2 linked regions of the Oryctolagus cuniculus genome follow. The protein of the gene in region 2 interacts with the protein of the main gene of each other region in a pairwise test. Links are inferred from orthologs where the notes say so. Each region holds a gene or a part of one and is shown on either strand. Other genes may lie near its edges.

What was found. The genes of interacting proteins can lie anywhere in the genome.
Region 1: the proteins of NGLY1 (region 2) and UBXN2B interact in binary tests that used the Homo sapiens proteins (3 or more experiments, as listed by UniProt). The two-hybrid records come from large-scale screens. The link is inferred for Oryctolagus cuniculus from reciprocal best matches to the Homo sapiens genes NGLY1 and UBXN2B.

The regions. Positions count from the first base shown.
Region 1 is NC_091437.1:83,595,883-83,600,447, forward strand, and holds part of UBXN2B (UBX domain-containing protein 2B), read left to right. Parts: intron 1-2,093; coding exon 2,094-2,177; intron 2,178-3,220; coding exon 3,221-3,330; intron 3,331-4,565. UniProt on the Homo sapiens protein: Adapter protein required for Golgi and endoplasmic reticulum biogenesis. Involved in Golgi and endoplasmic reticulum maintenance during interphase and in their reassembly at the end of mitosis.
Region 2 is NC_091435.1:161,843,329-161,847,893, reverse strand, and holds part of NGLY1 (peptide-N(4)-(N-acetyl-beta-glucosaminyl)asparagine amidase), read left to right. Parts: intron 1-405; coding exon 406-551; intron 552-3,048; coding exon 3,049-3,159; intron 3,160-4,565. UniProt on the Homo sapiens protein: Specifically deglycosylates the denatured form of N-linked glycoproteins in the cytoplasm and assists their proteasome-mediated degradation. Cleaves the beta-aspartyl-glucosamine (GlcNAc) of the glycan and the amide side chain of Asn, converting Asn to Asp.

The DNA of each region.
Region 1 (4,565 bases), on a different chromosome or scaffold from region 2:
GTATGGATGTACCACAGGTTTGACCATTCATTTATTCAGGGCCATTCTAGCTGTTTCTAGATGCTGATTATCACAAATAAAACTGCTGTGAGCAATCATACATAGGTTTGTCTACAGATGAATTCTAGTTTTTATAGCATAAATGCTCAGGTGTGCAGTTACTGAGTCATATGGTAAGTCCGTGTTGAGTTTAAAGAACCTGCCAAACTGTGTTCCAGAATGGTAATACCATTCTATATTCTCAGTGTATGAGAGACTATTTCTCTTTATCCTATAAGCATTTGACATTGTCACTATTTTTGATTTAGCCATGTTGATAGTTGTATAGTGATAACATACTGTAGTTTGAATTTGCATTTCCCCAATGAGTGATAATGTTAATTTGCATTTTCTTAATTGTTAGTGGTGTTGAACATCATTTCATGTGCTTGTTTGCCATATTTTTTACTCTTTTCAGTGAAATATCTCTTTATGACTTTTGCCCATTGGTTATTATTGAGTTTTGAGAGTTTTTAAAATATTTTAATAAGTATGGGTCCTTTGTCGAATGATATGGTTTACAGATACTCTCAGACTATAATTTATATTTTCATCCTCTTAATTGGAATTTTGCAGAGCAAAAGTTTTAAACTTTAATGCAGTCCAGTTTTTCAGGTTTTTATTTTCTTTTGTGGATCATGCTTCTGTTATTGTCTAAGAACTTTCACCAAACCTTAGAACCACTCATTCTTGCCCATGTTATCCAAAAAAGTTACATAGTCTGCATTTTACACTTAAGCCCATGATTCATTTTGAGTTAGTTTTATGTAAAATGTGAGATTTATATTGTTTCCTTTTTTGCTTATAGATAGCCAGTTGCCCCAATGTATTTGTTGAAAAGGTTCACCATTCTTTGTGAAAGTGCTTTTGTACCTTATTAGATTTCTGTTGAGCATTAATATAGCTTTTTTATCAGCCATCTCAGTATTGGAGTATTGAAGACTTCAAGTGTCTTTATGTCTAATTGTTATTTATTCCCATAATCAGCATTCTCAGCCTGGAATTCTCCAATCACAGTCACTCGGTGAGGTCTTCTAAACTCCCACATGAACTCGCATACGATGGCTTAGAAGGTTGGAGGTGTTCCTAGATGAGTGTCTGCTGAAAAAGCATGTCTTCTCCATATTGATTTTGATATCAATATGGAGAACTATTCTGATGAAACAAATTTTAGTTTTTATTATCTGTCAACAGCTTGAAATGCTTTCTCAGTCAAGTCTTTTTTTTTTTTTTTTAAGATTTATTTATTTATTTGAAAGGCAAAGTTAGAGAGAAAGAGGGAGAAACAGACAGATCTTCCATCTGCTGGTTCACTCCCCAAATTGTAGGGGCTAGGCTAGACCAATGCCAGGAAGCAAGAGCTTCATCTGTATCTCGCACATGGGTGGCAGGGGACCAGGCACTTGGGCCATCTTCTCTTGCTTTCCCAGGTGCATTAGCAGGGAGCTGGATCAGAAGTAGAGCAGCCAGGAATCGAACTAGCACCCATATGGGGTGCTGGTACTACAGGCAGTGGCTTAACCCGCTATGCCACAACACCAACCCCTCAGTCAAGTCTTAAAGTCACTTTGGTTCTTGCAAGCTCTCTGCTTCCATTTTAAAAAAATGTAGAATTGATGATTTAGTCTGTATGGACAAAAAAAAAAAATGTGACAATTAGATCATTGAGGATATTAGGAGTGATTAGAAAGAACAGTATTTTTACTTAGAATCCGCCCTACCTGATGAATGGAAGAACTTGTGATTAGTATAGCAAAATAAAAAGTCTAATCAGAGCTGACTTGTTACAGTTGAATCCAAATAGCTTATAAAATAAGCTTATAGCTTTTCTTCAGGGTCATTTAGACTCATTGATAAAATTCTTCCTTTACTCTAAGACTTGTCATAACATTGTAATGGTAGCTTAAAAATACCTTAGCTACACTTGAAAATACCCATTCCAGTGCATAAATGCTCATCTTAATTTGATTATCTAGTTTATAGTACATCACAATTTGTAATTACACTTTACTTAATAAACCTTTAACTCAATTTTTATCTTACTTTTATTGTAGTCTTTTACAGGTGGAGGATACAGGTTGGGAAATTCCTTTTGTAAGCGGTCTGAATACATCTATGGAGAAAATCAGCTGCAAGATGTAGGTATAGTACTCAAAATGAAAATTGATAGATATTTTCCTTTGGTTACTACTTTTAATTTTGAAATTTAAAACCAAGAATATAAATTTCTTTGTTAACTTTTGAAGCTTTATTCAAAGGATCAATGTGTAAGGTCTCAGTGTAAATTTTTGTATCATGTATCTCATTCATGCCTTATACTTAGAGGTACATAACTGATTGTTGAAAGAATGTGTAGGTGACTGTCAAAATGGGCTTACAGGCCAAGTATCTGGCCTACTGGCTAAGCCCCTGGTTAGGATACCTGTTTCTCACATTTGAGTGCCTGGGTTACATACCAGGCTCTGGCTTCTGATTCCAGTTTCCTGCCAGTGCAGACCCTGGCAGTCAAGGGTGATGTTTAAAATAGTTGACTTCCTGCAACCCATGGAGGAGATGTGGATTGGGTTCTCAGCTCCTGACTTTGGTCTCCCCAGCCATTGTGGGCATTTGGGAGTGAGCCACCAGATAGTAGCTCACTCAGTCTCCCTCCCTGTATGTCCCAATCTCTCTGTTTTTCAAAGAAAATTGTTTTTAAAAGTGTCATATATTGTGATAATGATTATAGTTGGTATAATGAGCTGGGTTGTAAACATAGACACTAAAGTCATTCTTTGTTTCTGTTGCCTTTTAAAATGTTGGAATTATAGTTTCATTTTCAGCATTTATAATTTTCGTAGAAGCACATTGGGACTTCTCTTGCCCTTTATCATGAGTATTTAAGCTCTGTAGCAGAGAAGAGGAAGGGTGGGAGTAGTGGGATCATAGCTGGGTGCCGTCTTCTGTTTTCTTTTACTGGTAGTTGTGCTTCGAGGTCAGGGTCAAGCTGTGGAACCTTTGGTATTTTCAGCCATTATCATTTGTTAAACTGAATGCTAGTCTGCTAAGCAAACTGAATAAAGCACAATAGGGATAAATTCCTATTTTAAATCTAAGTAGCAGTGTAATGTTCTGTGAGATACCACATTGGAAAACTTAGCCTTGTTTGATGGAAATGGTTTCTCCCCTACTCCTTATCTCACAGGTTCAGGTTTTGCTTAAACTGTGGAGCAATGGTTTCAGCTTAGATGATGGAGAATTGAGACCTTACAGTGACCCAACAAATGCTCAGTTTTTGGAGTCTGTTAAGAGAGGGTAAGATACATTATTTGTATTCTGTTACTTGGAATGGGGCTTTTTTTTTTCCCATTAACCAGATGACTATTTAGTGGTGTGCCCTTCTGCTTTTCAAGAGTTGATTACTAGACAGTATTATGTAAGTGATTGCTGGGAGAATGGGCCTTTTTCCCAAGTATGTAAAGGCTGTATTGCTGTCTCAGTCACTACTTCTGGCTTTGAGGGGAAGGGACATGGGACGTTGGATATTGGCCCCGTTTTAAAAATCTTGATGAAACCATGACCCAACTCTAAGCAGAAACATCTTAATATAAGAGATCAGGAAATTGGTTAGCATGTAGCTGCCCGTCCGCTATAGCATTGTCCTGCTTACTGGTGACAGGGTGACTTACACTGCACACTTGCCTGAAATTCAGCAGCTTGTATGAGAACTCTTTAAAGTGGCATTACTACTGGCAGGTAGTTCAAACAGTTAATTTAAAGTGATAATTTGTGAAAGTAGTCCAGAGAGATAGTACTCTAAGCCAACTGAAAAATAATATCAACTCATCAGTCCTTATTGCTACAGGATGAAGAATCAAGTGATTTTTGCTTTGATGATAAAAGCTTTTCTGTGATACAGATTTCACTAGCTGACATGGAATTATTCCTAAGTAGCAGCACAACTAAGGAGATAAAGATGACAATAAGCTGGAAGATGTAGTAATAGGAAGGGACCAGATGACTTAGCATGAATTTTTAATGTAAATTTTGCACAAATGATGTCAGGATACCAGACAAAGGTAAGTAGTGCTATAAGCAGTATGCTGAAGACCTTAAGAAAGGTGAGAAGCTATCCTAGGAGGCAGTGTGTGGTAGTGGCAAACACAAGAATATAATAGTTTGAATCAATGCTATGGATATAGGAACCTGAGGAATCAGTGAGAAGAGGTAGGAGCGTTTGGGGGGCAGAGATGGTCCTCTGTGGTGAAATCCAGCATTACTGTTTCTATGATGCTGATTTTACGATAGTGGAAGAAAAAATACTGATAATCAGAGTACAGTGATATATATTAAGACTAATTTATTGTTAAGTAAAAATCTATAAACTTTGTAGGCTAATACTGAAACAAATGTGGCATATAGAAAAGACAGAGTTATAGAGAGAGAGACAGAGAGGTCTTCTATCCGCTGGTTCACTCCCCAGATGGCCGCAGTGGCCAGAGACGCGCCGATCTGAAGCCAGGAGCTTCTTCCGGGTCTCACGAGAGCGC
Region 2 (4,565 bases):
GATCCAGTTAGACCTACTGGGTCTAGATCTAAAAGTCTGAAGAGAGAGAGACTGATGTTTCAGAAGTGGTGTGGATGTCCCAGTGTTGCTAGGCTGAGCCTGATGATTTTGGCAGTGTTAATAAATAGGTTCTCCTTTGGAGTTAATTAAGGCTAAAACCAACTTGCATTAAAGATTATTCCAAAAGTGTTTTGGGACATTTTGAAGAGATAGAGAAGTTAATACAAGTATTCTAATCTATATGCCAAAAAATGCTCATATTAACTAAAATTTAGAGTGCTACACATTACCTTATTGTGTGATTCTGATATTAGGGATTATTGTAGTTAGTGAAGAGCATTCTGGTTCTGTAAACTTCACTTTTACCTCCTTTTTCCATTGTTCTCTTCTCCCTGGCTGGAGTAGACCATGTCTGGACTGAAGTCTATTCCGGCTCGCAGCAGCGGTGGCTGCACTGTGACGCATGTGAAGATGTCTGTGACAAGCCACTCCTGTATGAAGTAGGCTGGGGCAAGAAGCTGTCCTATGTACTAGCATTTTCTAAAGACGAGGTAGGGCAAAAGAAAATTTTCTTCTAAGAATAAATATAATGTTGACAGTTTTATTGTATTTACCTATAATATGCTGTATAAATTTAAAGTGTATAATTTAAGTCTTGTCATTTGTGTGCACCTGTGAAATTGTCACTGCAGTCAGTATTGTGTTGTATGGATGTACTATAGTTAGTTTCTGGTTCTGTGCTGAGTGTTATGAACATTCAGGCACACAAATCATATGGGCATACACTTTTCTCTGTCTGTATCATGCTTAGGAGTAGAATGACTGTATCATCCTGAAGTGTATAACTTTTTTTTAAGATGTATTTATTTGAGGCCAGCATTGTGGCAAAGCAAATAAAGCTGCCACCTGCAGTGCCAGCATCCCATGTGGGCACCAGTTTGAGTCCAGGCTGCTCCACTTCCAATCTGGCTCCCTGCTAATGGTCTGGGGAAAGCAGCAGAGGATGGCTCAAGTCCTTAGGCCCCTAACACTCACGTGGGAGACCTGGAAGAAGTTCCTGGCTCCTGTCTTCTGTCTGGTCCAGGCCCAGCTATTGCAACCATCTGGAGAGTGAACCAGCGATGTAAGATCTCTCTGTTTCTCCCTCTCTGTCACTCTGCCTTTCAATTAAATAAATCTTTCTTAACATTTTTTGTTCATCCCCCAGATGACCACAACAGCCAGGCTGGAGCCAGGAACCTGGAACTCCAACCTGTCCCTGACATGGGTGGCAAGGTCCCAAATACTTGGGCCATCTTCTGCTACTTCCCCATGTGCTTTAGCTGCATTGAAAGAGAAACAGCTGGGACTAAAATCTATGCTGCAACATGGGATGCAAGCAGTGACTTCACACACTGCACCACACTATCAACCCCTGTATAACTTTTTAAGAAGCTTCTTAAACTGCTTTTTCGTTAATTTCTTTATTATTTGAGAGACAGCCAGCTGTCATCCTTTGGTTCACTTTCCAAATGCCACAGCAGCCAGGCTGAAGCCAAGAGCCAGGAGCTCAACTCAGGAATCCAAAGTGGGCTGCAAAAACTCCACATGCCTGAAGTGTTACCTGCTTCATCCCAGGGTGCATTCCTGGGATCATGAGTGGAGCCAGTACCCAAATGCAGGTGCTCCAGTGTGGAATTCAGGCAGCCCAAGCAGTGATTTTCCATTACACTAAATTCTTGCCCCCCCCCCAAAATTTGTTCAGTCCTTTATCAAAATTGTGCTTTGCGAAAATTTTTCTCCCTCTATTGTTTATCTTTTCATGTACTTTATGAATGACTTTTGAAGAAAATACCAATGAATTCAATTCGTCAGTCTGTTCTTTTATAGATTATACTTTTTGATGTTGTATGGAGATTTGCCTAGCCCATGGCAACACTGATTTTGTCCTAAGTTTTCTTTTAGAACTTTTATCTATTTAGGTCTGTGTTCCATTTTGAGTTCATTTTTTATATGGTACAAGGTATGGATTGAAGATAATTTTCGACATATGAGTAATGAATTATTATAACAGCATTTGTTGAAAAGATCCTTTATTCCTTGAATTATCTTTGTACCTTGGTCAAAACTTAGTTTTTGTTTTTGTTTTTAAGATTTCACTTATTTATTTGAGAGGCAGACTTATAGACAGAGAGAGGGAGAGAGAGAGAGAGAGAGAAAGGGAGAAAGGAAGGTTTTCCATCCACTGGTTCACTCCCCAAAGAGCCGCAGTAGCTGGAGCTGGACCAATCTGAAGCCAAAATCCAGGTGCTTCTTCTGGGTCTCCCATGCGGGTGCACTTCCACTGCTTTCCCAGGCCATAGCAGAGAGCTGAATTGGAAGAGGAGCAGCTGAGACATGAACTGGCACCCATGTGGGACACCAGCATCTACACCATAGTGACAGCCCTGTAATTCAAATTTAATACAATAAAAAGCAGGTGAAGTTTTTGTCTGTTGAATTTTATCTGGAATAAGTTTTGTATATAAGTTAACCTAGTATTTTGAAAATTTCTTGTTTTAAAACATATTGTTTCTCGAAAGGGCACCTGTTGGAAAATGAATATAAAGTGTATTCTCGGTGGCAGGCACTTGACCTAACAGTTAAGATGCTGGCATCCCATAGTGGATCGTGTGAGTTCAATAGCCATCTCTAACTTCTGACTCCATCTTCCTGGTAATGTGAACTCTGGGCGGCTCACAGAACTTGTTCTCTACCACCCCCGCAGGAGATGTGGATTGAGTTCCTAGCTCCCTGCTTTAGCTCCTGGTCCCAGGCCGTCTCAGGCATTTGGGAAATGAATCAGTGGATTGGAGCTCACACTCATCCACTCTCTATTTGCCTTTCTGCCTCTCAAATGGATTAATAAATAAATGAATAAATATCATATTCTCTTTCACAAGTTTTAAAATTTTAAGCAAAACAGCATTTTTTAAGTTGTGTTTAAAATTATATACATTCCTGCTATTTAACAAATAATGATTGATGCCTATAATCTTATTAAATATTTGTATATGTAATTTGTTTCAGGTAGTCGATGTCACTTGGCGATATTCTTGTAAACATGCAGAGGTAATCTCCAGAAGAAATAAGATTAAAGAAGACTTACTTCGAGAAACTATCAATGGCCTTAATAAGCAGGTATATGATGGATAGTTGTCATTTGTGCTAGGACATTTGACATTTCTTAAGTAATTAAGAATATATAGTTTTCATCCCATTGACAGACTTAATTGTAGCATTATTTATAAGTGAGAATATATTAAGATGTTAAGTGTTCTTTTTTGTTTATTGAAAATTTTGAGGATTCTTTTTAAATATTATGGATTTCTAGATTAAATTGTCAAAACTCTTCTCAAATTTCAGTGAAACAAAATTTGAATATAATGTTACTCAACATAAAAATGTTGTTTATTAAAGTCTTTAATATATATGTACATATGTATGCACATACACCTGTCCATGTATGGAAATTTCTGTATCAAGATACAGGAATTTATTAACAAGGGTGACTTCTGAGAAGAGGAACTAGATGTCCAAGATGGAAAATTTTACTATCCATGTAGACTTTTTTCATAATTAAAAACTAGTTTTCCAGGGCCAGTGCCATGGTGCAGTGGATTGGTCCTCTGCCTGTGGTGCCGGCATCCCATATGGGCACCGGTTCTAGTCCCGGCTGCTCCTCTTCTGATCCCACTCTCAGCTGTGGCCTGGGAAGGCAGTGGAGGATGGCCCAAGTCCTTGGGCCCCTGCACCTGCGTGGGAGACCCGGAAGAGGCTTCTGGCTCCTGGCCATTGTGGCCATCTGGGGAGTGAACCAGCAGATGGAAGACCTCTCTCTCTCTGTCTCTTCCTCTCACTGTAACTCTACCTCTCAAATAAATAAAATCTTAAAACAAAACTAGTTTTCCTTTTGACAGGCAGTTAACATAAGGCAGACCACCTTAGTCCAATTAGTAGTTGAGGTTCAAGGTAAGGTTTCAGTCTGTCGTGAATTTGTTCTTTCTTCCAGCATAAACTCTTCTGAGATCCCATCCAGAAAATTTAGGTAATTTGACTTTCTCCTTTCCAATTTGTATACCTTTGATTTCTTTTTCTTGCTTAATGGCTCTGGCTAAAGCTTCTAAAACTATTATTGATGGCAGTGGTGAAAGTGGGCTTCCTTGTCTTGTTACAGATCTTAGTGGAAATGCTTCTAGCTTTTCCACATTCAACGTGATGCTAGCTGTGGATTTGTCGTATATCGCCCTGACTGTTTAAGGAATGTTCCTTCTGTACCCAATTTGCTTAAGGTGTTCATCATAAAGTGTTGTATTTTATCAAATGCTTTCTCTGTATCTATTGAGATAATCATATGGTTTTATCCTTCAGTTTGTTAATGTGATGTATCATCTTTATTGATTCATGTATGTTGATGATTATCATCCCTGCATACCAGGAATAAATATCACTTAGTCCAGGTGAATGATCTTTCTGATGTGTTGAATTCTATCAGCTAGTATTTTGTTGAGGATCTTTGCATCTACATTCATCAGTGATATTTGTCT